Linked DNA regions of Oreochromis niloticus. The main gene of each other region encodes a partner of the protein of the gene in region 2 in a complex. Links are inferred from orthologs where the notes say so. Each region holds a gene or a part of one and is shown on either strand. Other genes may lie near its edges.

Region 1 (7,050 bases), on a different chromosome or scaffold from region 2:
GAAGCGCATCTCTCGCACAGCCTCTTCAACAGATGTCCCAAACACCTCGAAATCACCTGCAGGAGCACGCACACCTTCAGGGCCCACTGGGCTGGGAGAGGAGCCTGGGCTGTCCTCAAACAGTACTGGGGAGAGCTCTCTTATCTCTGTCATGGCTTCCTGGGAAAGCTCAGCTTTTTTCTCATCTTTACAAGAAAAAAAAAAAAATAATCACACAACATCAAATGAATTCCTGATATATAAAACTTCATATATATATGTGTTTGTGTCTATATATTAAAGAAAAACAAATCCCTACCTGTGGTCATGTCTCTGACACGGAAGTGATGTGTACGTGCGGACTCTGGCCAGTGCTGCCTCTGCTCCAGGTGGTCTGTGAAATCTAGATAAGCTTCATCCAGGCTCAGTGGCTGAAAGTTCGGGTCATAGTCTGCAAAGATCTCCCGGATCTAACAGAAGGACAGACAGATGGGCACCTGTTGAGCAACAAGCCACTGAAACAATTTGTTTGCATGTGTGTTTTTAGGTATTGCGCTTACCTCATTGCTCACAGCTCTGTACTTATCAAAGTTAAGTGGAACAATGACTAAACTGGGGCAGAGTTTCTTTGCAATGAAGCCAGGCATGGCAGCTCGAACCCCATATTTCCTGGCGTGATAGTTAGAGGTCGACTGTGAAAGGAAAAGAGGCGATATGAATGAAACAGAGAGAGTGGCTGTTCTGGATCTTAAATGGCCATGATTTCAATACTTAATCTTCGTGTAGTTTGTAAAGTAGTGAGAGCATGCGTATACTATATTTCAGTGCCGTGTGGTTTATATTTGAGGTAAACTTTTAATATCTTGTTTCAGAGTTCAGACATAATTCATAGTCAGCATCTGTGGCGCCTACACCCTGAGCGTGTCCATTAGCCACAATAGCAATGTTTTTAACCCACCAGCATGCTCATGGATCCTACAGCCATGGGCTTGTCCTTCAGTTCAGGACAGTCTCTCATTTCAACAGCAGCGTAGAAAGCATCCATGTCCACATGTACAATCACACGGCTTAGATCACGACTCTTCTCCAGTGCTGTGGCCACCTTTTCCACCTACGCAGAGAGAATAAAATGAAAAGAAGCCAGTTGCTTGAAGCTCACCTGAGTTGTGTCTGTGTGATTTTCAGGTCACCTCTGGAAAAAGAAGTCAGCTTTGGCCATGTGAATCCCTTACATCTTACCTGAGCTTGTGCTTTTTTTAACTGCTGCTCTGTGATCCGTGCCTTCTGTAGCATCATTTTCGTAATGCGCTGGTTCACCTGCTGATCTCTCTTCAGCTCATTCTCGTAAAACTTCGATCCCTGCCCAGGAAGGACAAGGACAATGGGGAGTTATAACAACTCCGTTTCACAGCTTTAATAAAAAGCTACTATAGCGCATTTATTTTTAGGACTGGATGTCATTACACAGAGGATAGTGGACACAAAGGGGAACAGGATACAATCTATAAAAGTGCGTGGAGGTTTATATTGTCCACAGTGTCATTTGTGCCTTTTATTGGCTAAAGCTAGATACATCCAAGTAAACCAAAAAAAAAAGAGTCAATTTTTAGATTTTGCTCCCACAATGTCCTCTTTTAGACTACAAACTGAAACAAACTTAACTCATGTACATATTTCAAAATAACATTTTAGAGCACCATTATACAAAAGCTATTCATATTACTGTAAGGAATGAATTATGACACTTATATGGTGATATAAGAAATCTACAAAAAAATGCATCATCAGAAATAGTGTCAGTTGAAGGGTGGCTGTCGAGAAGGCATTCTTAAGAAAGGGAAACTAGAAGAAAAGGCTCATGTGTGTCAAATTACACAAGAAGTGGACTGAAAATCAGCGGTAACAGGTCTTGTGGAGTGTTAAATCCAAATTTGTATTTTTTTGTTCAAATTGTCATCAGTATGTATGCGAAAGAGAAAGGCTAAATAGTGGATGTGTGCAGCCATCTGTGGAACACGGTGGAGGCTTTGTCATGGTTTTTTGTTAAAACTGATTAAATTATGAACACAGAAAAGTATCATCGGATTTGAATCCACCATAAAATAACATCTGGAAAGTGTGTAATTAGCAACAACTTCATTTTTCACACCATCTGAATTAAGGCTTGTGTCCAAACACACTGCCAGTGTGCACACAATGCAACACTATCAGTCATGGATAGCATGGAACTCAACATTATTGAAGCAGTGTGGTATCATCTAAAAGCAGCCAACATCCATAGAAGAGCTTTAAATGTCTCCCAGGAAGCCTGGAGAACTACTCCTGAAGACTACTTAAAGAAATGACAAGAAAGCTTAGCTAAGACAGTTCAGGCTTTGTTGAAGAATAAAGGTGTCATGTTTGTTAGAAATGTACATCCTCTGTCTTTGCGTTATATATAGTACTTCTATGTATTTTTTGTGCGTGTTTCAGTATATTGCTGCCCTTATTTTCCATCCATCCTAGCAAAACATAAAGACATGCAGAACGGCACGTCAACAAATTATCCATGCTTATGTTCTAAAAACTAATCATTTGCATCCTCTCGGACCTCAGGTGTGTCATGCCCGTGTCTTTTTGTGAGCACTTACCTTGGAGGTTTCCATGATGATCTTATTGATCTTGTCTCTGTCAAGACCCTCCATACCAGCTTTGTTGTCATTGAGAGCCATTCTGGAGAGGAAGCCCTCTTCTTTGGTGGATGCCACCCCATTCTCCATCCTAATGACTTACTTAGTGGAGGTACACTTCAGGTTATAACGAAATGGGCTCTTTTCTGAAGAACTCAGAGCTGTACATCCCCACATATGTGCGGCTTTCCGGGCTGGATCAGATCAGAGTTTCTCAATGACAAATAAGAGCCACGGTGACTGTAAGTTAAGTCACTGAGCTTTCTGACATACATGTCTTTACATGTATTGAAAACAGCTACGGCGGCGGTTTTTTTGGCGGCACTTCCGCGTCCGTACGTCATCAGCCAAATAGGCGGGACTAAAAGACCAAGAGCGTCATTTCAGGATTGTACCTTCCCTTCAAAGTTTGCTTTTACAGTTTATGACTTGGGATCGTGCAGTGTTTCTGCTGATATGAGTTAACCTTAGATTGTTATCGGTCCGTTTAAAGTACACTGGATACTCCCGAGTGCCAACAAATATGTTATGAAACCCTTTGGCATATTTCACACGAGGATTTAAAAATGGATCTGCTGGTCAAGTAAATTAAGACATCAACTGATGAAATGTAGTTTCGTTGCAAACAACGAAACAGATCCTCACAACACAAACTGCACCCCATATCAGGGTAAATATTTATGTAACATTTATGTGGCGTCACATTTACATAAAACATCAGTGCTATAGCACACACACAAAACATATTAGTGTTAACTATTCCTACCTGTGATCAGAAGTCATGCCAAATTGATTTTTTTAAATTCCAGTTTTACTGGTTTCTTCTGTTAACGGTAAACCGCTTTTTTGATTGGACTGATCCTTGCTGTGGGTAACAAAAAATCTCCTCATGTGGCCCGTCTGTGAGGTAGAATAATCATGTTTGCCTACACAAAAAGTTAGGCTATATACAACATTGTTTTATACATACTGTTGTAGTCATTGGGGACTATGCAGCAATAATATATATATATATATATATATATATATATATATATATATATATATATATATATATATATATATATATATATATATATATATATATATACATATATATATATATATGTATATATATATATATATATATATTTATAATTACAAGTAAAGAGTAATGCAATCTATGTTTTAGATTTAACCAGACATTTATCCATTATTACAGTTTTTTTGTTCTATGGAAAATATCTACTGTTCTATTTTTTCATCTTTTTGATCTGATCTATCGCACCACTACAGATTATCCTATTGGGCAGTATATTAAAGCCTGGATCAACTGATTGATTTTGGTGTTAAAAATGCTTTACACGTAACTACTTTTAACTACAGAACTATCATTTCCCATTTTGGCAACTTTATTAATAGTTCTTCTTATTTATTCTAATATATTGTCTTAGATTATATACTAATTATATCACTAACAAGTTCTCTGTTAGTGAGATAACCTGAAACAAGCACGCCGTTAACAGTAAATCTTATAAACCCGGTTGTAATACTTATAATACCAATAAAAAGGAAACTAAACATTTTCAAAGCGAGCACAAAAACTTTAGAAACTAAATCAATGCGAACTGAAATGGAAATAAATATTTAAAAATCAGTCAAAACTAATATAAATACAAATGTATAACTCTGACCTACATCCTTCACTGTATGTGTGACACGTTTAAATAAGTATACTGCAAAAAATGGGTTTGGCAGTTTATTTGATTTGTGATACAATCTTTGACTATGCAAACTTTTGATTAAAAAAATATCCAGCTTTTAATTTTATTCAAACACGTATAACTTCCGGTCTGGGGGTGACCGGCGGTCGTACACAGTAAAGCGTGGCTGCGGCTCCTCCCCCCTCGACCCTAAAGAAGAGTCCTCCGCTGCTGCTAACTGAACTGCGGAACCACAGCAGAGAGTCAGTCCGCTGCTCGTCGATTTTCAGATGGAAGTTGATGTGTAGTGGTTTCCCCGAAGGCCTCCATGTCGAGCAGGAGCTTATGGACTGCAGCTAAGATAGCTAACGAGCGCAACCACAAGTTATTAGTTTATTTAATACTAGCTAGTTGCGTCATTTGATAGCCACCGCTAACTTAGTTAGCTAGTCTCAGTGGTATTCGACGTCAGTTTCAAAACAAAGCAGGCAAAACGGAGAAAATCAGATCCAGCTGTCACCTCCAGAATAGGTGGTGGCCAGACAAGCTAACTCGGTTGAAGTCTGTCAGTGACCTAAGATATATTACGCCACCTAGACGCTGTTTTGTACTCTCCGTTAATGGCCAATTAACGTTATTTTGCAGACCTTAAGTTGAAGAACGTTTCTGCAACCGCGTTTTAACTCAACTAATCCAGCAACTAGCGTCGAGCTACGTGGTTGCACTGATACGATCAGATTCAACTTTTCTTCTAAACTTGGAGTTAAATGTCCGAGAAGAGTTCATCGTCCAGTTCGGATGAGGATGTGGACCCGGAATCCGGTCAGCCCCTGGAGCTTGGAGGCGTCCTAAGCAAGGTAACTTTAAGTCAAACGGTGTGCACTTTAAAGTGTTGCTGCACTAGATCACCTGCTGAGCGCGTGTTGCAGCTTTGTAACTGTGTACTTCACGTCTTGTGTGTTTACAGTGGACAAATTACATACACGGGTGGCAGGACCGATGGGTTGTGTTGAAAAACAATACTTTGAGTTACTACAAGTCGGAGGATGAACGGGAGTACGGCTGCAGGGGCTCTTTGTGCCTCAGTAAGGCAGTCATCACAGTAAGTATTTAAACTGGCCACATCACAGGGAACATAGCACCTGTTCAGCATTTCAGTAAGTGAGGACTCATAAGAGGATAGTTGTTTCTCTAGTATGTCTCCCTGTTTTGATCCCATCTTTTCTTATTCATGCACATGCTCTCCATTTTCCTCTAAGATAGAAGGTGAACATTAACTTATATTGAGGCTGTGTTAAGATTACAGATCGATACTTGAGCATACCAAGGGACTATTACTTCAGTGATCATAGCGCTATCAAGTGTTCGTGGCCCTTGTTATCTACTATAAATTAGTGTTTGCCCAGGGTTTCAGATGTAAGCTTTGACCACACACTGTAGAAGTTGGACCTACATTCTTCCTATTCCGGCCTCTTGTTAGTCAGGTAAACTAAAACCTACCACCCTGGTTAAATATTCACTGATCTCGCTCTCTCTCTGATCATACCAAGTACAGAAGCCAAACAATTGGTTTTACTGTAATTTGCACAGCTGTGTTCAATAGGATTACATGATTTTTAAAAGTAGAACTTGAAAAGGTCACAGTGAGGTCCTGCTGCTTGTTGGTGTGAACATAATCAGTTCCTATGCTTGTGCAGACCTGAATGGAGCACGATTGTTTTTTTAATTGCGCTATAGTAGCCAAACCAAGAATGTACACAGTTTTATTACACATACTCACAAGTAATTAGAGCAACATGACCCAAACTATTCCCTGCCTCTATATTTTTTTTTTCCCTGAAGCGGGGTCTAAGGACTCAGGAATGCACAAACAAATCTTTGCTTCTTAGCTCCCCTGTAACAGCTACACACTGATACACAACTTCTAAATAAAGACCAACACGAGACTGTCCTCACGCAGTGGTATAATGTGCAAGAAACGTTACAGTCTAAATACTCTCACTGGAGGCAACAATCAGAAGCTCCCATTGATTATACATGCCATTGCATTCTCCCACCATTTATCAGTTTTAAAAGTTAATCTAGTATATCTTGTATTAAATATTATTAAATTAATCTGATGCACACAGATGCGTTGTAAAATGTCAAAAGAAGGAAAAGTTAAGTCTTAGTCATTGTTAGATCCTATCAGTGGACTGATGAGACTTTTTACTAATAGTGAAGAAATTTACACATTTGAAAAAAAAGCTGATGCTGTGTAGATACAGCTGTGCTTACGCAAAGGGGAAGAGAACGTTCCAGTCATAGGGAAACTGTTATAAACTTCATTGTAAAGGGAAGGTTTATGGTCTGCCTGATGCAGCAGTGCAAGATAAAGTGGATTTGTCAAAGCTATAATCACGGCTGGATGGGCACAAAGCTGCACACACCTTTATAGTGAAAATTTAAAACCGGAGCACTTTTTTCATATCCGACTGTTTCTGGTAAGGGAATACGGTAGTGCTGATTTTGTTAGGAACATCAGTAAAAAGCATTTAAGGGTCATAAAAATCCACCCCATGCTTGTGCCCATTCTAAATATACAAGTTGTGAAATGCAATACCAGCGTTAAAGCATTACTACAATGTTGCATAAAGTTTTTCAGGCTCACACTAGGTGTCCAGAGTTGTGTGTTGCTGTTGTCAGTGGCTGCAAATAAGCCAGCACATGAGCAACATTCA
Region 2 (7,610 bases):
ATGGCATAAATGCTGCTCAGATGGTGTGGCAATTATTTTAAACACCAGGTGACTGTAAAGTCAGTCCTTCCTGAGTGATGTCTCTTGTTTACAAAACTTCCTCATGTGCAAACCAAAGGGCAGGAACAATGCAACCAGTGTTGATGACTGATATTAACAACAGTTAAATGAATCAATGTTAAATGAGCTTAGATGCCATGGTACTGGCCGCACACTTTATGGGAAAGCCGTCCGTGCCAAAGGACATGCCCGGGCAGGTTCTCTACTGTTGACAGGTAGGTCACAACGAGTCGCTATAGGTCACAGCATAGCCCCATGTGGCACTTTGTCACTTCTTTCAAGTACGAGCTAGGTGGACGGCTAACATTAGCCTAGCAACTCTAAGCGGTTTTAGCTGGTTAATAATGCATGTCGCTACGCCACTAAATGGTATTATAAATTAAGGATCAGGAACAGTTTGAGTGTTTTGCAGACTCTTGCTAACAATACTGGCAGAATTAGCAACCCAGCGTTAAACAGCGCTATAAGACTATGCAACTTTAGTGTGGCGATAACCAAGGCTGTAAACAAACCAACCTTCCTGAGTGGTTGCTCGCAAAGAGAAGTGCTTTACCTTGTATCCTGTCAGACTTGGTTGTTAGCCACAGACTTCTCTCTGCAGATACTGCTCAGCTCAAACGTTGTGTGCCCACTGATTGGGTTAAACGAGGTAAGACCAAAGCAAAGCGAGATGAAAATCCTCTAGACAGTCAGATCGAGTCCTCCGCCTCCCCGATTCTGTTATTCCGAGGACTCCTTTTGGTGAACCGAGGTCCCCTTTATTGTGTCATGCTGCCACGCCATGTCTCTTGAACATTTTCACTCACCCTCCCAGTCCCTTCGCTCTCCATTTCAACCGCCTGAATCCCTTTGCTTTCTTTTCTCTCTCTCAGTAAGCACCAATGAGCAAGGTAAAAGTAGTTCCGGTAGCAAAAATTTCAAAATAAAAGTTGTCGACTAGGCTGTTATGTTTTTCAGGAACAAGGGTGTGCAGAGCTGCCATGAGGTGTGATAGATGGAGTCAAGATGGGGTCGGATTACATTAGGGATCAGCTCTGAGCCCTTTCTTGTTTGCAATGATGACGACCGACAGGTCAGGCAGGAGTCTCCGTGGAACAATATGTTTCCAGATGACATGATCTGTAGTGAGCCTGGTCAAGTGGAGGTATGCTCTGCAGATGGAAAGTCAGTACAAACAAAACAGAATACATGTGTGTGAATGAGAAGGAAACTGCTTTGTGGAAACAGTGAAGCTGCAAAAAGCAGATGAAGTGAAGGTAGATAAGTTTAAATACCTGAGATCAACCATGCAAAGCAATGTGCAGTGTACAGGGGAGGTAAAGAAGGGAGTTCAGAAGTGTCAAGAGTGATTTTGAGATAAAGATGGCAGCAAGAGTGAAAAGGAAGGTTTACGAGATGCTATGGTGTATAGTTTGGAGATGGTGACACCAATAAAAAGACACGAGCTGAATACGCTAGATTTTCACTGGGACTGACCAGGATGGACATGACTAGAAAGAAGTACATCACAAGGACAGCTCAGGTTGAGCGATTTGGAGACAAATGCAAAGCAAAGCTGGCATGGCTTGGACATGTGCAGGGGAGGCACAGTGGATATACTGGACAAAGGATCTTGGACATGGAGCTGCCAGTCAGGAGGAGATGAGGAAGACAACAGACAAAGTTCTTGGAGAACATGGAGAGTGTTGGTGTGACAGAGGAGGATGAGGGATAGGGTCAGATGGAGGCAGATGATCCACTGTGGCGACCCCTGTATTGAGCAGCCAAAAGAGGTAGAACAAAAATAGACCACTATGGGAACATTTTGTGTAAGGGAGCAAAATTATGTGGAATTTAATTGACCTATACCTCCAGTGTAATTTCTTATGGTGTGTCTGATTACTCACATATATACCGCACTGCAGACATGAGCTTATTTTACAATATCCAGACTGTTAACACGGTAGTTTTATGTCATATTTTAAACTTATGGAAAACGCACACTCATAAGCTAAGATAACCGTTCAGTATATTCCAACATGTGGACAGCATTTGATTTTCTATAGTTTTTAAAAATGTATTTCTGTATGTATGATATGCAGTGTAGAAAAAACACCAAATGATAATTGGTGCGCTTTCCTTAAAATCAAACACACATTTCTATATATCTGTTGATTTAAACTGAAAAGTTTGCCTAGCATAAACCGCTATTTTCAAAAACAAAATACGCCCAACTTCCGGTCGTCGGGTACCCTTTCAGGTAGCTTGACGCATCATCCCCGGCTTCTTGTTTTCAGCACTGTATACAGTATTTGCTTGAAGCTGCGATGCTGCCACTACGCGGACAGTCACGTACATGTCACCTGGACTGTCTATAACAGTTCATGAAAGCTCTGTGCAGTTTTTAACCCACTGGCGGTGCTAATTTACTCACTCGGGAGCCGAAAACCGGGTCGCCGGTGTGAAGCTGCTATTTTGTCGCTGCGACCTTCGGTTATTTCAGAGTGACGCTGCTCATTTGAACTCAGGAGGGTTTGTGTGCAAAGTGTCCGCTTTTCTGCGGCACAACAGCGGCTGGCGGAGCAGTCTAGGGACACGCACACATCCACCGGTTTTTTTCCACGGTGTGCGTATACTGTCTGGCTCCCAGCACGGTTGTCCTCAGATGGCCGTTCATCTCACAGGCAACTGACGGCCGTGACGCAGAGGCACGTGCAGCACGAACGAGGATGTGAACACTCGTCCGCGCGAACCTGCTCTCTATTTTAACCGTAGTCCTGCATAATATTAAAAACAGCGCTAGCAAAAGCAAAGACGGGGTGGAGTTTCCCCCATCGCTAGCAAAATAAGTGGGTTGGACGCTGAGGAGCATAAAAAAATAGTCTGGGCCCTGTCTCCTCTTTAGTACCTTGTTTGATTTGGACACTTAATTAAAGCTTTCCCATCTTTGATCGGTTTGTTTAAAATATAGACTGCAACACAGGAGCTGGTGTTAAAGGAAGTGTAAATAAAGTGGGTCATATTTTTGAGGGGGATAAACATGTAGTCTGCTACTGATTGTGTTTGCAGACCTCGTATTTCACTGAAAGCAAGGATGCTACTGACCCAAGCCTGTCCCAAAAAGCACCCCCACCCCTTATTGGTTGTTCTCTGTTGCTATGGTACCAGACATCGGATGCTGAAGCTTCATGCGCGACATCTGTGTTGGTGCAGCAGGAAGTGGTGGAGTGGAGTGATGGAGAGTGTAACTTGGTGACTAATGAGGCTGACTTTCACTCAGTGTGAGTGTTTGTGTTTATGACTCATGTTTTGGGGAACATAAATCTGTTTACAGTCACATTGTGTGGACCTTCCTCTCTTGTGTGCAAATCATTGAACTATGACTGTGTGTGCGTGCATGAGTGTCTGTAATGGAAAAAAAGCCCAGAAAAGATCCTCCTCCAAATCATCAAAGGAACCTGTCAGCAAAGGTATAATCAGTATAATGAACTAGGTTTCCTAATGAGAAACATTCATAAGAAAGTGTGTCCATCTGAGCAGTCCTTATTCACAAGTAAGGTCAAAAATATGCAAAGTAGCTTTCTATAAACGTACACCTGCACTCATTTAAAGGTTCATTAAGTACACTGAAACACATGCAACACATATTGCCTCTGATTAGCCACCCACATCTTTTCTCTCAAGTAATCTCACCATTGGGGTAGAGCAGGCTGTCTATTAATCAGAAGGTCAGTAGTTCAATTCCCAGCTACTCCAGTCTTCTTGGGGATGATATTGAAACCTAGTGCATCCACTGGAGTGTGCAAATGTTAGACAGGGTGTGCTTAGGTGTAGAAAAAAGCACTTGTAAGAATTTGTGTGTGACTGGGAGAATGAGGCTTCTAGTAAAATGCATTTTGAGTGCTCCGAGTAGAAAAGCACTATATACAGCCATCATCCAGTGGTTTCTGATGGGTTTCACATGCTGATTATTAGAAGAAATATTCCTCATTGAGGGAAAAGATGATCATCCTGTATGTATTTCCATGTAACCCTTAACCAGACCCAATTTGTAAACCGACAGAGGGACGTCTTCACTACAAAGTTTCTTTATGTAACTCCACACTCAAAAATAAAAAGGGACAAACATTTTATTCTCTTGCAAGTTTTCCTCTTTTTTCTAAAAACAAACCATCCATCAAATATTGCACAGTAAAAACAATGTGAAAAAAGTACATCATTACAACCCTCATTAGCAAAAGATGCAAACAAGTTCTCTAGTTGTAGGTCTTTTTTTTTTTTTTTTAAAGGATATTCTCCTGCTTTGGCCCCTTTGAGAAAAAGTCCGCTAGATTAACGATTACGTCCAAAGTATGAAAAAGGCTTTCCGGGTGAATTTGAACATACATGTGAATCCTTCAAGGTCCGAGGGACATTTGGCAAATGGTTAAGAGGCTCATTTAATGTGCACACAGTAAGGAAGTGTATGCACCAAAACATACTGTGGGTGTTATTAGGCTCTGTGGGGGTTCATCCATCTCAGTGCTCTCCAGAGTTTTACCTCCTCTACCGTCAATGAGATCCAGTGGGCAGGTTATAGTGAATCCTTTCTAAGTTAGTTGAGTTTGGCACTAATGCGTATCCACTGAAGGGCCTGCCTGGTGTACTGGACAGCGTGAGCGATGCTACTGTGAAGAGTCAATGGCCCAGACAAAGTATTCAAGTAGTTGAAGAACTCTGATGAGGAAGAAAAAAAGATATTGGTCTTAAAACATCTGAAAACTAAAATGCATTTAACATATTTTCATGGTAATCTCTCCCTTTTTTATTTCCCCTTTAAATCACCACTACCTTTATTCTCCTTTGCAAGGTTGTCTGCCACCTCCCAGTACTCATAGCTGTACAGCACACTGTTGGTAATGTTCAGGTGAGTTGCTGCCATCTGGTGGATACGGTGGGGAATGCTTATGAGGGAGGCAGAGCTGCTGCCCTCGTGGGAAACCCGTGCGAGGTGTTTGGCATTAGGTGAGAGTGAAGAGGGGGGTCCTCCTGTACCCCTAAGAGTGAAAACACACACAACAGAGTGATGGGCAACCAGCGGTGGTTTCAGTGGATTAAATGGGCTAAACAAAAAGCCTATCATTCAAAGTTATCATCCACCTACTTCCCAGAGTCACTCCAGCCGGGTGGGGTAGTAGGCACTTTAGGAGAGCTCTGTAACAACATGCAAACAAGGCTTATTGACGTGTCATCCACACATAAATGTTGACTTGTTTTCAAGTAAATGACTTGTTTTTAGATGTACCTTAAAGTAATCCAGCAGCACTTTGGAGTATTTCAGCGCGTGATCCTTCTTCAAGCGAAACATCTGCCAGTAAAGGAGGGCCAGGCATCGGAAACTGTGGACAGGAGTCGGACATGGCACAAAATCATCCTCAAAGTGCACGTCCTTCAGTATGATGATAGATGTGGCTTAAACAGATGAGATGATGACATACGTACCACAGAACCGCCAGCTGTTTGTCTTCCTGTCTCGCCCCGGGGCCAGAGTGGCTCTTCAGCTTCATTGCGTACCTTAAGAAACAGCAATTCGTGTTTATGCACATATCCAAATCCAAATGACTTGTGACCGCTTTAGCATCGAAATGTCATTCACCTAATGAGCTCCACTGTTTCCGAATACATGGTATAAGGAGACTTTGCTTCGAGTGGCCCTTCCTCCATTGCCTTCCCACATTCCATGAACGAGAGAGCAGCATCAACATAGTTCACAGCCTTCCCCAGCTTGTCGACCTGGAAAGAAATAATCAAAAGAGGCAAAATATTATTTTATTTGTTACTTTTTTGTTGGGCATTTCAGTGGTACACATTTAGCACTACGACCTCACAGCAAAAAGGTTCTGGATTTGACTCCAGCAGCTTGGTTCCTCCCACAGTTGGAAAGGCAAAAGAAGCCAAAGATAAAAACGTTAGGTTATTTAGTGATTCTAAACTGGCTGTAGGTATGGCTGGCACCCCAGTCGCCCTGATATAAACCAATTTGTACCAGCAGATGGTGTCAGTGTAATCGTTATTGTAAGGGTATGTTTCAATGTGCTGTAAATGCTTCATTTCAGATGGTTCTTGTAATTCCTGGAGTGGCCACTTAAAAAAAAATGAGTCAGTCCACAAAGACTAAAATGTCTAACTTTATAGGCATATTTACACTATGGCACTTAAAGCCTGGCACAAAAAAAGTTTTGCTCTCTAATTTGTTAAGGGATGATCAGCTGCTCCTGAGGTTTCTAAACAAGAAAAAGAAGAAACTGAGAGTCTGTGTTCATTCAATTCCCACGAAAAAGAGGCAGCATGGAGAATTTCAGGAGTTGAAGCTGTATTGCGGCCGCTTTCGTGCATATTTCAGGATGGATTGTGGGATCCTGCCCCACTGACAGGATTGTCAGTGGGGCAGTTTGAGGTCATGTTGGCAGAGTTGGGAACACATCTTAGGAGGGAGAGAAATCATTTCAGAGAGCCGACTGACCCAGAGCAGCATCTAGCTGCGTGTCTGAGGTAAAATTGTATTATGTTACTATTTGTATATTCAGTACTGGTGCACGTTTTAAACTATGAGCGCACTTATTGCCGAAGGCAGTGGTCTGATTGGTTGGAAAAATCTGAAACTCAAGCTCAGTTTGAAAAAACAAATTAATCCATTACACAGCCATTGTGAAGCCTGCATTAAGAATAGATTTTTTTTATTTTTACTTCTATTATCCGACAAATAACAAATAATAATGTCGAATAGTTTTGCGATGTTTCACTGAGTGAAATTTTGTATTGTGTATTTTATTTATATGTAACACTGATTTTGCAGTGCACCCATAAAGATTATGGGTGGTGCATCCAAACCAAGCCTGTTAACATTAGATGATAAATTAGCATTTATCAGCATCTAAATATGGTCCCTTTGTTAACCATGGTCTTCCATATTCATAATCCAGATGGGTGATGTCACAGTAGCTATGTCCATCTTTTAAATACAGTCTGTGATTTCTGAGACACTGAAAGCGAGGAGCTACATCACAGTCCAGTAATGGTAAATGGCCTGTATTTGTATAGTGCTTTACTTAGTCCCTAAGGACCCCAAAGCACTTTACACTACATTCAGTCATCCACACACACGTTGGCTACATTGTACATTGTTGGCTACATTGACTACATTGTAGCCAACAGCTTGGCTACATTGGCTACAATGTAGCTTGGCTGGTGATGGCAAGCTACATTGTAGCCACAGCCACCCTGGGGCGCACTGACAGAGGCGAGGCTGCCGAACACTGGCGCCACCGGGCCCTCTGACCACCACCAGTAGTCTCGGTGTCTTGCCCAAGGACACAACGACCGAGACTGTCCGAGCCGGGGCTCGAACCGCCAACCTTCCGATTGCAAGACTAACTGCCAACTCTTGAGCCACGATCGCCCCATGCATAATGCATAAAGAAGGATTATTTTGAACTGTGAATCATGCAAAGCTACACAGAGACAAAGAATAAAAACATGGAGCTGGAAATAAGCAAGCTAAGCACATTTAAAGAGGCGCATGGAAAGCAGCA
Region 3 (6,887 bases), on a different chromosome or scaffold from region 2:
TGCAGCCAATGGACTTTGGAAGCTGTCTTGGTTTCACAGCTTCAAAATCAATCCCCCGGCACAAGTCATACAGCCACTGACTACATTAAACAAGGAAGCAGGATAAAGTTTAAGGTCCCTGTAGTACTGAAGGGTTTCCAGAATTACAAAGTTTCTTTTCTGAAGCAGAAGTTCAAGTTCAGAAGTTCAGAAATGTTTAAGGAAGTTTAAAAGTGCAAAACTACTTGTTATTACTTTAATAACACCATGTGATTATTTTCTTAAGCAAGTTATGTCACCATTATCAAAATGACAGTGTTTAAAGGCATTTCTGGCTCTCTCACCCTGTTTTTTCTCCAAAGTGCTGCTCCAACTGAGCCTTAGAGAAGCGAGTGAGATCGCCCATGTTCTCTATTCCCAGAGTTTCTGTGATTGAAGTTCCCAGCTTACCCCCCAGGTTACGGCTGCAGGGAAATAAATAATACAAGAGCACAGGGTTTAATTTGAAGTTTTAGCTGCCACTCTGTCAATGTAAGCAATGACATAACTAAACTTACATCTTGCCAACGGGGAGACTGCTGAAAAGTTCTGTCACAGAGTCCAGAGGAAGAACAGTTTGTCTGTTGGGCTTGTTCAGACCACAGGCTAGTTTAGCCAATACCTTGGAAAAGTGAGCGGTAAATGATTATCTCTGCAAACACAGTTACCGCTCTTAGACTATTAAATAGGAGTTTATCCTACCTTATTGTGTGATATTCCTGCAGAACAGCGGAAACCTGTGTGTTTCTCCACAGCTGCTCTCATTTCCTCAACAATCAGTGCTCCAACAGTTAGCTGCAGTTCTGCAGAGCTCTGCTCACCCACTGACGGGAACGTTAAAGATTCCAGCCACTGCTGGAGACCTCTGGATCGCTGTTCCTCTGAGCACAAACATGATGTTATTAGGAGGATACAGCCTGCCATTGTTTTTTAGCTGTTATTTTTCGACAGCTTTCTGTATCAACTGCAGAAACAACTCATTGGGTAACTGAAGTTAGCTTACAGCCTACCTTTATCCAGCACAGTATCCTCTGCAGATTCTTCAGCTGCAGGTGAACTTTGCGGGTACCCCTGGATGTAGGTAGTCCTCAAGAGCGAAGGTTCGATTTGTTTGTCAGTCATATTTTTCAGTCGCTGCTGGACAGCGGCAGTCAAATCCATGTAGGCCTCATCAATGCTAGCTCTCTCAATCACAGCAAAGCGAGACATGACCTCAATCACCTCCACACTCGCCTCTCTGTAACTATAAAGGGGACAGAAAGAAGTTATTTGCAGTACAGCTTTGGCCACAAGAATTTAAGGCAATTTAAAAAATAATCGTAAATTTAATTAAAGACTTAATGTTGATCGAGTGTTGATCCAAAGATTTAATGTTGATCCAATTAAAAAGAGGAAGTCTCTGGGGATGTACATGAGCAGCAGCACTTACTTTGTCAAGTCTGCCTTGCCATGAGACTCACGCACTCGTGCCACCTGGAGGTCTGGGCACAGTTTTTTTGCATCATCCACCCACATGTTCCTGGTGACACCATGGGCCCTGGCCTCGTAGCTCACAGCTATAATACTAAGAAACAATAACATTTAGTCAAGGATCACAAAACAATCAAAGTGTGAAAACATTTTAGAAGGTGTCAAAGCGGTTATTTGTGGGACATGAAGGCGGGTGAGTTGCCAACACAGAGACATCAATTCAAATGGTCAATGCAACTGAACACACGCAGTCCTGGGAACGAATTCACCAGTGGGTTACAAAAAGAGAGGGGAATGTTTAAATTCTCTGTAATCTAGTGACCATTTTGTTTGATCCAGTATTTCATTATTTCAAAATCTGCTGATCTACTGGCATTTTCTCCCCTAACACCAACTCTATGGTTTACAGAGAATGGTCTGAAAAAAGAGAAAATAAACCAGCAGTTTTCTGGGTGAAAGTGCCTTGTGCAACTAAGAGGTCAAAGACTAGACTGCTTCACGCTGATAGGAAGGCAACAGGAACTCAAATTCAAATAACCACTCAATTAAGTTATGCAAAAAAAGCATTTTTAAACACAAAAAACGATGAACCTTGAAGCAGATGGGTTACAGCCACGGAAGACCACAGCAGGTGCCACTTCTGTCAGCTAAAAAACAGGAAACTAAAGCTACAGTTCAGATGGGTTCACCAAAATTAGACAAGAGAGGACTGATAGGACAATGTTCCCTGGTCTGATGAGTTCAGATTCAGGCTGGTGGAGGTGGTGGTGGTGTAATGTTGTGGGGGATATTTTCTTAGCACAGTTTGTGCCCCTTAGTAGAAACTGAGCATTGTTTAAACACCACGGCCTACCATGTCCATCCCTTTATGGCTACAGTATAACCATGTTCTGATGGCTGTATCCAGCAGGATAACACACCAGGTCACAAACCTCAAATCATCTCAAACTGGCTTCTTGAACATGCCAGTGAGTTCACTGCACTCGACGTTTGGCTTTTACATCAACCTGTTGACTCTATGCAACAAAGAATTAAGGCAGTTCTGCAGGTAGGAGTACGAACAGGATGTACCTAAAAAACTGTCCACTGAGTGTATGCATAACAGCGTAAGGAACACCAGAAAAAAATGTTTTCGTAACGGCAGCTCGGCTAGGTGTTTCAATTGCGTCGATCACAAAAACAGCATCTCTGTGTCAGAAACTCACCTGCCTCCTTTCCACGTCTTGTACTGGGCCACCACACAGGGAGTATTCCTCAGAGCTGGATTCAGCCTCTGCTCCACCTGCACGTAAAAGCAGTCCATGTCTACTAACGCCACCACCCTCTCCTTCCCGTACTCCATTGTTAACGATGAAAATCTATCGGTGGTGTTAAGATATATGTCCGCTTCTTGGCGGGGCTGTTAATTCACAGCTGTCATCAGAACTGAAAGTTCGGTGGACTTGAACGGACCGCCAAAATACACACCGACCGCTTTGCATTTCGAGGGTTACATAAATACGTCATCAACAGTCGACGAAGAAGTCCCTTGCTAATGTCGTCACCACTGAAGAAAAACAGTTGCCTGCACACAGTGTTGCCAACTTAGCGACTTTGTCGCTATATTTAGCGAGTTTTCAGACCCCCTAGCGACTTTTTTTCTTAAAAAAGTCGCTAAAAAAGACGTGAAAGCACGTATCGCTTTTACTCTCAACAAGCAGCGGGTGCTGTAACACAGTCAGTTCTTCTTTTACTCTTTTACTCATATGCTGTTTTGTAGATCACAAGGTTTAAAACTACTTATAAACACACACACACAAAGTAACTCCACCAGAGTGCCTATTTCGGATCACTTTTGCCAGTCCAAGCCCGGGTGAAGGAGCAGGGTTGGAATTGTGACATTAAAAAAAACAATAATTGCTAAAAGAAATTTAATTTGTAGTTCTAAATAAACTCTAAATGCATTTAGGACGTTTTTTACTCACTTTATGTCTCTTCCACGATGTTATTTCTCTCTCCAACAACATAGGTTACAATTATATTAGCATGACCAATTATGCAAATTAGGTGATGACGTCATTTAGCGCCTTCTAGCGACTTTTAGGACAACCAATAGCGATTTTCCTTACTGAGGAGTTGGCAACACTGCCTGCACAGCGAAATTAGCTAGCAAGACCACAAAAGTGCAAGAAAGTGAAGTTTCAAAACATCAATATATACAAACACTATATACACAATGTGTAAGTTACAAGAAACACTGTGGGGGTGTATACAAGGGCATCCATAATATAAAGTAAGGGTGGAAGGGCATTTAGTCATTAAGGATAGTGATAAAACACTTGCAAAATATGGAAAATGCAATGTATTAATAGTGTAATTTTGAAGTATTTCGCCTTCTCCCTTTAGTGACCACCAGTGGAACTCCTGACCTTCTCTATACTTTGCCATCTACACTACATCTTCTTAACCTAGCTCTGCCCCTTATTCTTGAAAATTGGTACCAGTACACTCCTTTTTTACATTCCTTTTTCAACAGCGCCCAGGCATCCTCTCACTGTCCAAGGTGTGGGAAAACAATATGGTGAATAAGTCCACTGCCCTCTCTCCTAAACATCTCCACACTTCCACAGGTCTATCCAACGGACCAACTGCCTTTCCAGTCTTCATCCTTTTCATAGCTGCATTAGCTTCCTCCTTACTAACCCTCTGCACTTTCTCATGCGATGCTACAGTTCCCCTCTTCGGACCTTTCTCTAGATGCACAAAGGAACAGCACAACTTCTTCTGGCCTTCTCTATACTTCTCTATATTCTAAAAGCCACAGTAAACATTTTATGAATCTGTGGGCTATCCTTAAGTAAAATGAAAGAAGACCTTTTTGCAGAAACAACAAAAATGAAGAGTATAGTTCATGCAACAGTGGTAAGTAAAGAAGGTGTTTGGCTTCAAGAATGCTGAAGAACTTGTTAGAGTTACTTCAGTCTCTTTCTGAGGGCAGATGTACCCAAGATTGTTAAGATCTGATTGCTGAGGACAGAGTTATTGCATGGCAGTCTACAGAGTGCTCCAGTAAGAGGTAGAACTACAGAACTCAGTAAGAGACCATGGGTGAATATAAGTCCACCTATTCTTCTAATGACTGACATAAAAATAAACATATATAGTGAAACAACACAAATGATCTACTAATAAATTGCAGAAATAAATATATTTAGATAAATTCCAACAGATGTAGTTAGGGGCTATTGTAACTATCAAAACAGGTTTGATCCAATGGCTCTCAAATGGGAATCCTCATTAAAATCATTATCTATTCATTTGTCTCGTTGTATTGTTATAAATAATAAAATGTTAATAGATTTCAAAAAGTCAGACAAACTAGTTTATTCCTTACAGTAACCAGTGAGAGGTTTTGAACAATGTTTAACTAACACGTGACTTATAAATTAGGCAAATTATGAAATATACTTTTGATAGTTTTGGGTGAATTGCAGTCAATTGTAAAAGCCCTGAAAAGAGAAACACTGTCAAAAATATAAATAAAATGAGGAAGCAATCCAGGTTGAAATTTTCCCTGTGATAGTGAAAGGAGTCACTCACTCACAGCAGCTGTACCAACATGGTTCTTCTATATATTTATCACCTATTGCTCACTGGATTGCTGGGTAAGTAAGATAAGCCTCGAGCTGGTAAATATTTAACTTAAAGAGATGAGTCACTAGTGGTTCATCATCAGCGTTTAATATTGTGTTTAATATTTTACTGTTAGGCCATGATTTTGAATTTTAAAAGTGATACAGGGGACATTTTAAGGTATTAACTCGTATTAACTATTTTCTTTTAATTTGTTAGGAATTCACTGTGGAATTATTACAGTGAAAAAAGTGTCAGTGAAGAAACTGGGTTCTGTCTCTATCCCATGTCAATATGAGCCACTCTACAGAAATCATGTGAAATACTTGTGTAATGGATACTGGTGGTTAGTTTGCTCTCAAGAAATGAAAACAAGCCAAATGAAAACATCATGAAAGTTTTCCATCTCGAATGATACAAACCAAAGAATCTTTACTGTGACTATTAATAATGATCTCACAGTCAACAAGTATTTCTGGTGTGCTATAGAGACTGGCAATGGAAGAGATGATAAACAATATTTTCATCTGTCTGTCAGCACAGGTACAGTAAACTCTCTTATTTCAGGGTTTTAAATTCCTCGTTGATGTTTTAAACAAGGCATTTCAGTGAACTACCTGGCAGAAAAAATGGCTAATGGCTGTATCTTTTTTTCCCTTCAAGGTATGAAAAGTCTAAATGTAACCCAACAGGAAATTGTAGGTTTTGAAGGAGAAAGTATGACTGCTGTGTGCTGCTATAACTATCCAGTAGAAAAGGGAGTAATGTGGTGTAGACTGGGCAGCAGCTGTGTAACCAATCAAGATGGATCAATAGATGGAACAGCTGTGAAAATAAATGCGAGTGTCCCTAATCTTTTCACTGTGACTATGAGCGATCTGAGATCAGAGAGCAGCGGCTGGTATTGGTGTGTCATTGGAGACTTACAGATGCCAGTGCACATAATAGTTCATGAAGTTACTTCAACCGGTACGACTGCACTGCACACCAATACAAGTAAGATATTAACATAACCTTTCTGTTTTCATAAGTTGGCAAATTATCATAAAAATGGCACCACAAAGGTTTAACAAATCAGAGAAATTAAGCTTCAGGCAGTGGTGGGACACTGGAGCAATGCAACTTATCTTATGATGGTCTTATGATGTGAAAAGAATGGCTGTAAACAGTCAAATGACCTTTTTACGACACTGCTGATTTTATTTGGCTTTGATCACTTTCAAAATTCAAAAAATCCAAGTGACTGATTTTCATCTGTCTTGACATAAGCCCCTTAAAAAATAACCTGTGAATAATTTGGTAAGTTTGAAATAAAAATAAAAAACATTATCCGAGAGGTATAAATGGGTGTAATTTATTCATTCTTTGATCCAAGGAACTTCACAAGGACACTTTCAACCACTCGCCAACATTCCTCCTCCCTTACAAACATTGAACCAAATAGAGCCCAGCCAACAACCTCAATCATACAAATCATCCTCTTGTATCCATCCATCCTCTTGTATCCATCCTCCAGGCTGGAAGCTGATGCTGGAAGCCTGGAGGATGGATACAAGAGGTCTATCACTTTTAACAATTTGCATATCCCCAGTATTAGACAAAACAGAACAAAACAAAACAAAAACTAAAGATCAAATTTGCTCCTGGAAAAGTATTCATCTTGTTCAGTTTTAGAATTGGTTTCTGTTGTTTGAAAAAAGCATGTCAGTTTTATCCTCATCTACCTTTATCTTCCAATTCCACTAAGATGACGATTCTCACATCTGTCCTCATCCTACAGCTACTGA
Region 4 (7,830 bases), on a different chromosome or scaffold from region 2:
GTGGCATCCATGTTTTCCAAGTAAAACGTAACATTTTGATTTCTGACCAGAAAGGTTTTCCACTTTGCCTCAGACCATTTTAAATGAGCTTTGGCGGAGAAGATGGCAGGGTTTCTGGATCGTGTTCACAAGTGGCTTCTGCTTTAGAGCCTCTACATTCAAACCTTACACTCCATGCAAGACAAAACTGTTTTGCTGATTACAACCTGCAGCACTTTGGTACTTTTTAAAAAACTTGTTGGCTCACTTGCTGATTATTTTCCACCATGACGAGTAACGCATTCAATTATGATGCTTTTACTAGGTTTATGTGAAATAAGAACATGACAGGAACAACATTTATTTATATAATAATGTGATTTGTACAACTGCTCTGAAAGGCAGATCGTGTGTCAAATAAAGAGCAAAATACTACTACTACTACTACTACTACTACTACTACTACTACTACTACTACTAATACTAATACTAATAATAATAATAAAAACAAACTATGAGCAGAACAGTTTCAAGGTTAAAATAGAAACCTAAAACAAAATAACAGCAGTCTAAATGGAACATATGAATTTTAATCCCCCTTTTAATAAAGTACACCACACACACACACACACACACACACACACACAATTTTTTTAAATTATTACTCACTTGATGTTTGAGTCCCAAAGAAGTTTGCCACTGGATTGACTTTTGCGACCGGTTTGCTTTTGGGTGCTTCGATCTAAAATACAAAATACACACTTAGAAACAAATAGAGCAAAAACTCAAGTACCCTGGAGAGCAACTGACTGCAGCACAAGGACAAAGCCGTACATCATGTGCATCCTCTTTCTTTTCAGGCTTCATCTCTTTGCTGTTATCCTGACTCTTAGGAGCAGATTTGTTAGCAAACATTCCCATGATGCCTTTTGGAGGCTTGGCGGATGATTTTAAAACTGGGCTGGTGTCTCCATTCATGCCAGCCTTTTTGTTTTCAGGCTCAGGTGTAGGAGCTTGCTGAACTTCCCTCGCCTGCTGCAGCTCCACAGAAGACATGGGCACTGCGCTGGCACAGCGGATCGCGCTGTATCTGAAAACCAAAAGGAAATAACTATTAAATAATATTAATAACATTATACATTAATTATGCTTTCATTCTAATAGTGGCTAAACTAATTTTTACACAGATGGTGTAGAAATGCTGATTACTGGTCACTGCAAATCAAAAAACACCATGATTAGCATACCTGCTGCAGTTTTTAAGATTGTCTTTCACAGCGTCGTAGTCCACAGCGTAAAGTGGGCCGCTGTCTTTAAGCAACGCTTTCTGGACGCTGTAGACGTGCACGCTGACTACCAAGCTCATCTTGGCTTTGAAGTCTGCAGAAGAAAACAGCAAACTTGACACACTGCTGCTTCATTTACAATAACTATGTCATTAAATAAAACAAAATACAAAGAAAATCAAGACTCACTGACATAAAAGTGTACCATTTAGTGATGGTGATGATTATGAAATGAGGACATTACTTTCGAAATGAGAACCAAACAACGAGCCAACCTTGCTGTTACAGAGCAACACAACCGAATGATGTCATGTGAATTAATATTTACACACCTTCCAGCTGCTCCTCTCTCACAACAGACACCTTGTGACTCTGAAAAGCAAACACAGTGTAAAAATCATTAAATCTGCAGCTTTGTGCATGTAGAAAAAAAAAAAAAATCACAAAAATTGCTACAACAGGTCTCACCGTTTGACCGTTGTCCACAAATTTCCCTGACACAAGGTAGGTGGCATGCAGCTGAGCTGAACTCTCCTTCCTCTTGTGATCCAGGTAGTGGTAGAGCATTCTGAACACAAGACACAACTTACATGTATTTCCCACAACTTGAGCCTTTACCTGGGCCACTTAGGAACATCAGTGTTTATGGCATTTATGTATTTATCAGCCAATGACACAAAGTGTTAATGATCTTTTTTTAAAAGAAAACACACAGCACCTTTTTTTGCATGCACACATATGCCAAAACATGCAAACATGTGCATGTCTTCATCTCAGTAACACAACAAAAACGGTGTAACTCATTGCAGAAAAACTCAAGCGACATTCCACTGGACTATTACTGTCAAATGTAGTGCTTCTTTGGCGCTAAATACAGTAAACCCTAATTAATTTAAATTTGGGATTGTTGCTTGGACAAACAAGACATTTTGAAGATGGAAAAAAAAAGTATCATATATTATTTTATTAGTTCATGGCATGTCAAAGTAACCACTTACTGTTTTGCTGTGTTGACATGAACTCCAAGAGTGAGACTCAGCCATTTATAGGTTACCTGTTGTAGAGAATGCACACAGGACACTTGTATTTACACAGAGACTATATGACGGATAATAAATATTATCCAAATATTGTCATTTCTTTAAGGTACCGATTATTGTTGCTTTCCATTAAGCTACGTGAGCTGGGAAATATCTAATACTTATCAGATATAAACAAATATCGACTTTATGTCAGTGTTTGAAATGTCTTTACTACAGCAGTGTTTGTCACGCACTTGGCGGTTTCCAGCAGTAACTGAAATTGGTCAACTAAAAATAAGCTTTTCTTCAATTCAAGTGCCATTTACTACAGCATGGCAGAGCCGAATTAACACGGAGACCCCTGAACATCCCTAAAATTGATAAAAATGCCCCCGGATACACATAAATTGTCGTGAAAACCAGACAAAGTTAAAACGGCAGTTTTTTTGAGCGGAGTTCAGCAGCCAATCATGTCGAAGCCAGAGCTAATTCATGTTCTAGTTCAGCCAGAAAACGTCATCGCACAAAATGAAATACCGCGAATTAAGAAGGCACTTACTATTTTATTATGGTCATTGACGTATTCGTCAATATTATCCAAATAAAGCTCATCCATTTTGGTTTATTCTCCTTGAAAGCAGACGACTTGCTGTTCCAATTTAACTGCGCGGGAAAGCAGTTTATTTACTTCCTGTTGCATGTCACGTGTCCGCCCGTCCTTCCTGTGAAGCGAAAGGCTTTAGGCTGCCCTCTGCAGGCCAGACGGGGCTGTGACTCACTCCCTGGATCAAATGAATGATAGAAGTAAAAAAAAAAACAGGAGCTTCATTCATTTATTTTTACTATATTCCACACACATTATCATTATTAATACGTTTTTTTTTGTACCCCAAAACCAACACGGGACAGTTAAAAATCAGTGCAAACTGTCTGAGAACAGCAAAATCCACAATGTGAATGCAGTGGAGCTGAGTGGAGAGAGCATCAGTTCATTATAGGCACTATAATGCACCTATGTATGTGGAAAACAATAATGATGATGGGTCTCCAGGGGCCACTTTAAAGCTATCTCTTATTATAGTAGCCCAACAATGTGCTCCAGTTTTACCTTACCGTCTATGCGGGAGGCAAAGGAGCAGTGTGTAGAAAATAAAGCAAGCTTCTTACACCGCCATCATATCAAAGAGCAATAACTACAACAGCAGCATCCTCAGATTGTTCAGTAGAGAAGTCCATTCCTTCCTCATGGGGAGTCTGCATGATATTTCTAACTCAGGCAATAATAAACTGAAAATGACAACAGAACAAAAATGGTTTGCCCAGTGTGTCTTCAGCTTTCAGGCAACTTTCTCAGGTCACAAGAAAAAAAGTGCAGTGCTCAAAACATAGGATTATATGAAGTGATAAGCTTCAAAACATAAATAACAGATGTTAACTGACCTCCGGCTCCTTAGGAAATAAAGTAATCTTTCTCCCGCTTGTATATGGGTATTCCAGTCCAACTTACTGTTGGGCTGCACACCAGGGTATCTGTGGTTGAAGACCACTTCCATCTCAGTGCTCCTTACAGTTATTGGTGTTGATTGGCTCCTTCTCCCACCCCTCGTGAAGTCTACAATGGTTTTTGTGACATTATGATGAAGAGGATTGCATTCAAAGTCCTAAACTGTTCCTCTATTCTCCTCCTGCTCACCACTTTTGATTGAGCCGACAACTGCTGTGTCATCAGAAAGTTTCAGCAACAAAGTGTCACTGTTGTGCTGATGTCTGAAGTCTGCCGTAGACATGGTACATGCTACACACGGGACTGTGCTAGAGACACTTTTTTGCAGATGCACATATTGTGGTCGGCAGGAGAGATACTCCAAAAACACAAGACCATTGATGGATTGTAGTAAAGGCACTGGAGAATCAAAAAATGTGAATGTCACAAATGCATTGACCAGATATGTATGTGGCCTCTGGATCGACACAGCATTGGTGTGCTTCACTTCTGTTGCATCAGATCTGAAAGAGTAGGTTCAAAAAGTTTAAAGTTATTTATTTGCTTTAATCAAAATGAAATTCACTGACTCTCCCATGTTGATGGGGAAAAAAGAGACTTTTTGTCTCTTATGGATCAATCAAGACAATTAAGAAACTGAATAAATAAATAAATAATGTACCAGAGGAACATTTCCAACCCTGAACAAATGTGCTAAACAAGTAGAAAAATAAGAATGGTTTTAAACAAGCTAACCCATATCATTATCTGAGCATTTCCATTTCTACTCTACCACTTGCAAACCTATTGCTCCAAAAAGCCTTGTTAATGAGATGTAGCTGTCAAATCTGAGTGACACGCTGTATATATGATTATCTGAGGTGTGTTCTCGCAGTCTATCTGATGTAATATTTAGATTGAAGTAGCTCTGAGTCTTCAGTGCACAGCGCTGCTCAGCCTGCACGGTAACTTCTAATAGAAATGTCAAACAGAAGGGCAGCGACGTGCAGCAGAGGAGGGAAAAATATTCCCATAATGATGACAAAGTACAAGAATAATTGTCTCACCTTGAAGACGGAGAGCAACACTGAAATCCTCAGGTGGATCAGATTTGGTTTAAATGAAGGAACATTGTGATCCTCTTTGTCTTTCTTCTCATTGTGCTGCACACAAGCACCTTTACCTTTTTGGGTTTTTTGTGGACTCCTTTGCAAATATACCAGTGCAAAAAATGTAAAAATATTTAAAAAATTCAAATTCAAATTCCCTTAAAGACTTTTTTGTACTTTTTTTTGTCCATATACAGCACCACAGATTTTAAATCAAGGAATCAATAAGCAGTTAAAGTGCAGATTTTTAGCTTTAATTTAAGTTTAACAAAAGTATTGCAGTAGCTATTTAGGATTTTTAGCCAGTTTTATACATAGTCCTCCAGTTTCAGAGACTAATAATAGTAATCGGACAGTTGAGTCATAAAAAGTTTTATGTGAGGTCTGTTCCCTTGTTAGTCCATGATAATATTAAACAGATAAAAGACCTTCTGTTTTTTCCAGGTTGACATTTTCACTGGAATTCTCAGAATTCCAAAGGCAGAAGTTCAAAGGCAGTCCGTCAACTGATGTTAATGCACCAGACAAGGCTTTTTAGTTAGTGAAGACAAAACTTAAGGCGCAAACATACAGCAGCTGAAAATGGCTTGAGTAAAGGCCTGAGAGAAGGCGAGAGGATTTAATACAGCATTTGTTAATTTCCACGAGCTTCTAGATTTCAGTCAGTTATTACCTTATTTTCATTCTAGTATTATATTTTGTGCAAACAAATTTTAAATTGAAGATTTTAAATTAAAATTATATCTGGAAGTATATAGTTCCATTGCAGTGGTGTATAGAGGCAAAATTGTGTCCAAAAACCTAAAGACCAGACTGTATCTCACAAGCATGTGGAGCGTGATCAGTCTATGTCTGTGGTTCTTACAAAACTACAGACATAAAAATTTGGGGAACCATTGACAGATATAGAGTTCAAAAATAGACCAAATGTGCTTTTACGTAAAAATCCTAATCTATGAAGGTATACATACTTGGATGTCAAATTATAAATCAATCCACTATATTTCAAAGAAAGATGTATTTATTCTTTTAAATAGATGTTTCCATAAATACCAGTCAAGTACAATTTTACAAAATCAGGTCACTAAACCAGGTCAGGGTTAAACAAGGTTTTTTTGTTTTAATGAAAGGATTCAGAGTCAGTCAGCACATCTGATTCACTGTAAGCAAAATCAGGGGTTGAATTGATATCAAACCGCAGCCCTCCTCTTGTCACACCAGAATGTCACTTGAGTGTCCCAGTGCCCCCCTCTGGTTGGCTCAAGTGCCTCTCTGCTATGAACTAATGCATCAAAAGTAAACCTTCTCTGTAATCCAGCCCTGCACGTGAAAGAAAAGCTGGCTCTCCTTTAAAAGCCAATGCTCATCACAGCTGCTTTCAGAATCGGGGTAATGTTTGAAACAGTGTTATTCCTCCTTTTGCTGAAGCGTTTATGATACTTTTTATATTGCATTTGTTACTGTTCACTCCCGAATTACATCAAAACCGTGACTGGCTGTATTTGTGTGGATCAAGGGGTTTATTATTGGTTTTATTTTACACTTTGTTTGCAAAACAAACAATATTGGACGTGTCACTCTATATAAGAAATTCAGTCCAAAGTTTTACATTACAGATGCAATTTCTTAGTGATGCAGTGGCTGTGCCATATTTAACATGCCGGTTCATGCGGGCAGAAAAATACGTTTATGCTTGTAACACCTGGAAATGTTGATAAGTGTCGGCAGTACCTGCAGGTGTCTAACACTCTGTGGCTGCCTCCTGTGCTGCCAAAACATCTCTGATCCATCAGGGCGTGCACGAGGTACCGCTGAGGGTGGTCTGTGATGTCTGGCACCAGGAAGTGGATGTTGGCTTTGGGTCCTGTGGTGGCGCTTCCTTGACCGAGGTTGTTCTGGCGTGTCCTGATGCTCAGCAGGATTCACGTGTGGTAGGGTTAAAATCTGGATCAGCGCCTTGGGCAGTTTGTTAAGGTCTTTGAACAATTCGTAAACTTTTTTTTTGCCATGTGGTAGATTGGCTTACATGGGGAGATGATTGCTATCAGGGAGTGACTTTGACGTTAGATACACTTGACCTGCAGCAGTGGCAGCAGTGTAGATGTTACCCTGACATGCAGTGCTCCACATCATTGCAGAAACTCATGCAGAACAGATGGTAGATGGTATCAAATATTTCAGTGGTTTTAACGTTGTGGCCGAACAGTTTATTTAGGTGGTGTTGTGCAATCATACAAGTTTTGTTTTGCCATGGTTGTGACTGCGATCATCATAATATTTCTCCTTCACATACCATGAACTTCTATGACATTGACTTTTTAATGATCCTCAGAACTTTTAAATATTGAAAGAAAACAGAGAAGAACTTTTGATTGCAGCAAGAAAGAAGGATGGTAAACCAGGACGATTTCCCAGACACTGGAGGAGAAAGGATAAAATATCAAACCAGCCTCGCCAGGACTGGGATGGTCTTTTTGGCCGTCTCCGCCCACCACTCTCACAGCATCTAAGTGTCTGAAAAACCAAGCCCATCCTGACCTCCCTGCCATGGCCCCCAAAAATGTAATTAAATTAATTTTTTTTCTAGTTCCGGTGATATAATTTGATTTGCTGGGCCGCTTTTGTCAAAATAAAAGAATGCAAATAAAAAAAATTAAAATGAGCAAATACACAACAATGAAATCTACATCTACCAATCTACAAATAAAGAAAACACCAAATAAAAGAAAGTGAAAAACTAAAATTACTTTCACATCATGACAGTCGTATCAGTTTATGTTCATCTTAACTTTGACTGGCCTAGAGTTTATTTTGGAAAGCTAAAAGTACACAGTATCTACACGATGCGTTAACACACAGAGGTCACAGTTTCTTTTTAATGTATATATATTTACATTTATGGAACACCTGAACAGGAACCTTGAACATGATCACACCACACATAAATGGCC

Evidence for each region.
Region 1: the proteins of rev1 (region 2) and polk are in contact, whole or in part, in an NMR structure (PDB 2LSI), measured with the Homo sapiens proteins. The link is inferred for Oreochromis niloticus from reciprocal best matches to the Homo sapiens genes REV1 and POLK. Residues at the interface, in NP_057400.1 of Homo sapiens: Asn1158, Leu1159, Ala1160, Gly1161, Ala1162, Asp1167, Leu1171, Leu1172, Glu1174, Trp1175, Thr1178, Ile1179, Met1183, Glu1185, Asp1186, Gln1189, Val1190; in NP_001374042.1 of Homo sapiens: Lys564, Lys565, Ser566, Phe567, Phe568, Asp569, Lys571, Arg572, Arg575.
Region 3: the proteins of rev1 (region 2) and polh are in contact, whole or in part, in an NMR structure (PDB 2LSK), measured with the Homo sapiens proteins. The link is inferred for Oreochromis niloticus from reciprocal best matches to the Homo sapiens genes REV1 and POLH. Residues at the interface, in NP_057400.1 of Homo sapiens: Asn1158, Leu1159, Ala1160, Gly1161, Leu1171, Leu1172, Trp1175, Ile1179, Asp1181, Pro1182, Met1183, Glu1185, Asp1186, Gln1189, Val1190; in NP_006493.1 of Homo sapiens: Thr528, Glu529, Pro530, Phe531, Phe532, Lys533, Lys535, Ser536, Leu539.
Region 4: the proteins of rev1 (region 2) and pold3 are in contact, whole or in part, in an NMR structure (PDB 2N1G), measured with the Homo sapiens proteins. The link is inferred for Oreochromis niloticus from reciprocal best matches to the Homo sapiens genes REV1 and POLD3. Residues at the interface, in NP_057400.1 of Homo sapiens: Asn1158, Leu1159, Ala1160, Gly1161, Leu1171, Leu1172, Glu1174, Trp1175, Ile1179, Met1183, Glu1184, Glu1185, Asp1186, Gln1189, Val1190; in NP_006582.1 of Homo sapiens: Gly232, Asn233, Met234, Met235, Ser236, Asn237, Phe238, Phe239, Gly240, Ala242, Ala243, Met244.

Annotation. Positions count from the first base shown.
Region 1 is NC_031977.2:16,939,305-16,946,354, forward strand, and holds the start of polk (DNA polymerase kappa), read right to left. Parts: upstream 3,016-7,050; 5' UTR 2,739-3,015; coding exon 2,610-2,738; intron 1,339-2,609; coding exon 1,219-1,338; intron 1,091-1,218; coding exon 938-1,090; intron 672-937; coding exon 540-671; intron 450-539; coding exon 299-449; intron 186-298; coding exon 1-185. Other genes in the region: cert1 (collagen type IV alpha-3-binding protein), read left to right, coding at 5,098-5,187, 5,298-5,432. UniProt on the Homo sapiens protein: DNA polymerase specifically involved in DNA repair. Plays an important role in translesion synthesis, where the normal high-fidelity DNA polymerases cannot proceed and DNA synthesis stalls.
Region 2 is NC_031987.2:21,426,259-21,433,868, forward strand, and holds the start of rev1 (DNA repair protein REV1), read right to left. Parts: upstream 3,018-7,610; 5' UTR 2,474-3,017; intron 1,212-2,473; 5' UTR 614-1,211; intron 1-613. Other genes in the region: aff3 (AF4/FMR2 family member 4), read right to left, coding at 4,634-4,755, 4,870-5,075, 5,183-5,232, 5,324-5,417, 5,521-5,592, 5,675-5,811. UniProt on the Homo sapiens protein: Deoxycytidyl transferase involved in DNA repair. Transfers a dCMP residue from dCTP to the 3'-end of a DNA primer in a template-dependent reaction.
Region 3 is NC_031978.2:15,456,895-15,463,781, forward strand, and holds the start of polh (DNA polymerase eta), read right to left. Parts: upstream 3,007-6,887; 5' UTR 2,831-3,006; coding exon 2,694-2,830; intron 1,583-2,693; coding exon 1,448-1,582; intron 1,262-1,447; coding exon 1,029-1,261; intron 900-1,028; coding exon 721-899; intron 641-720; coding exon 537-640; intron 444-536; coding exon 324-443; intron 81-323; coding exon 1-80. UniProt on the Homo sapiens protein: DNA polymerase specifically involved in the DNA repair by translesion synthesis (TLS). Due to low processivity on both damaged and normal DNA, cooperates with the heterotetrameric (REV3L, REV7, POLD2 and POLD3) POLZ complex for complete bypass of DNA lesions.
Region 4 is NC_031982.2:27,839,076-27,846,905, reverse strand, and holds the start of pold3 (DNA polymerase delta subunit 3), read right to left. Parts: upstream 3,005-7,830; 5' UTR 2,904-3,004; coding exon 2,847-2,903; intron 2,320-2,846; coding exon 2,264-2,319; intron 1,834-2,263; coding exon 1,734-1,833; intron 1,638-1,733; coding exon 1,598-1,637; intron 1,360-1,597; coding exon 1,227-1,359; intron 1,070-1,226; coding exon 814-1,069; intron 722-813; coding exon 649-721; intron 1-648. UniProt on the Homo sapiens protein: Accessory component of both the DNA polymerase delta complex and the DNA polymerase zeta complex.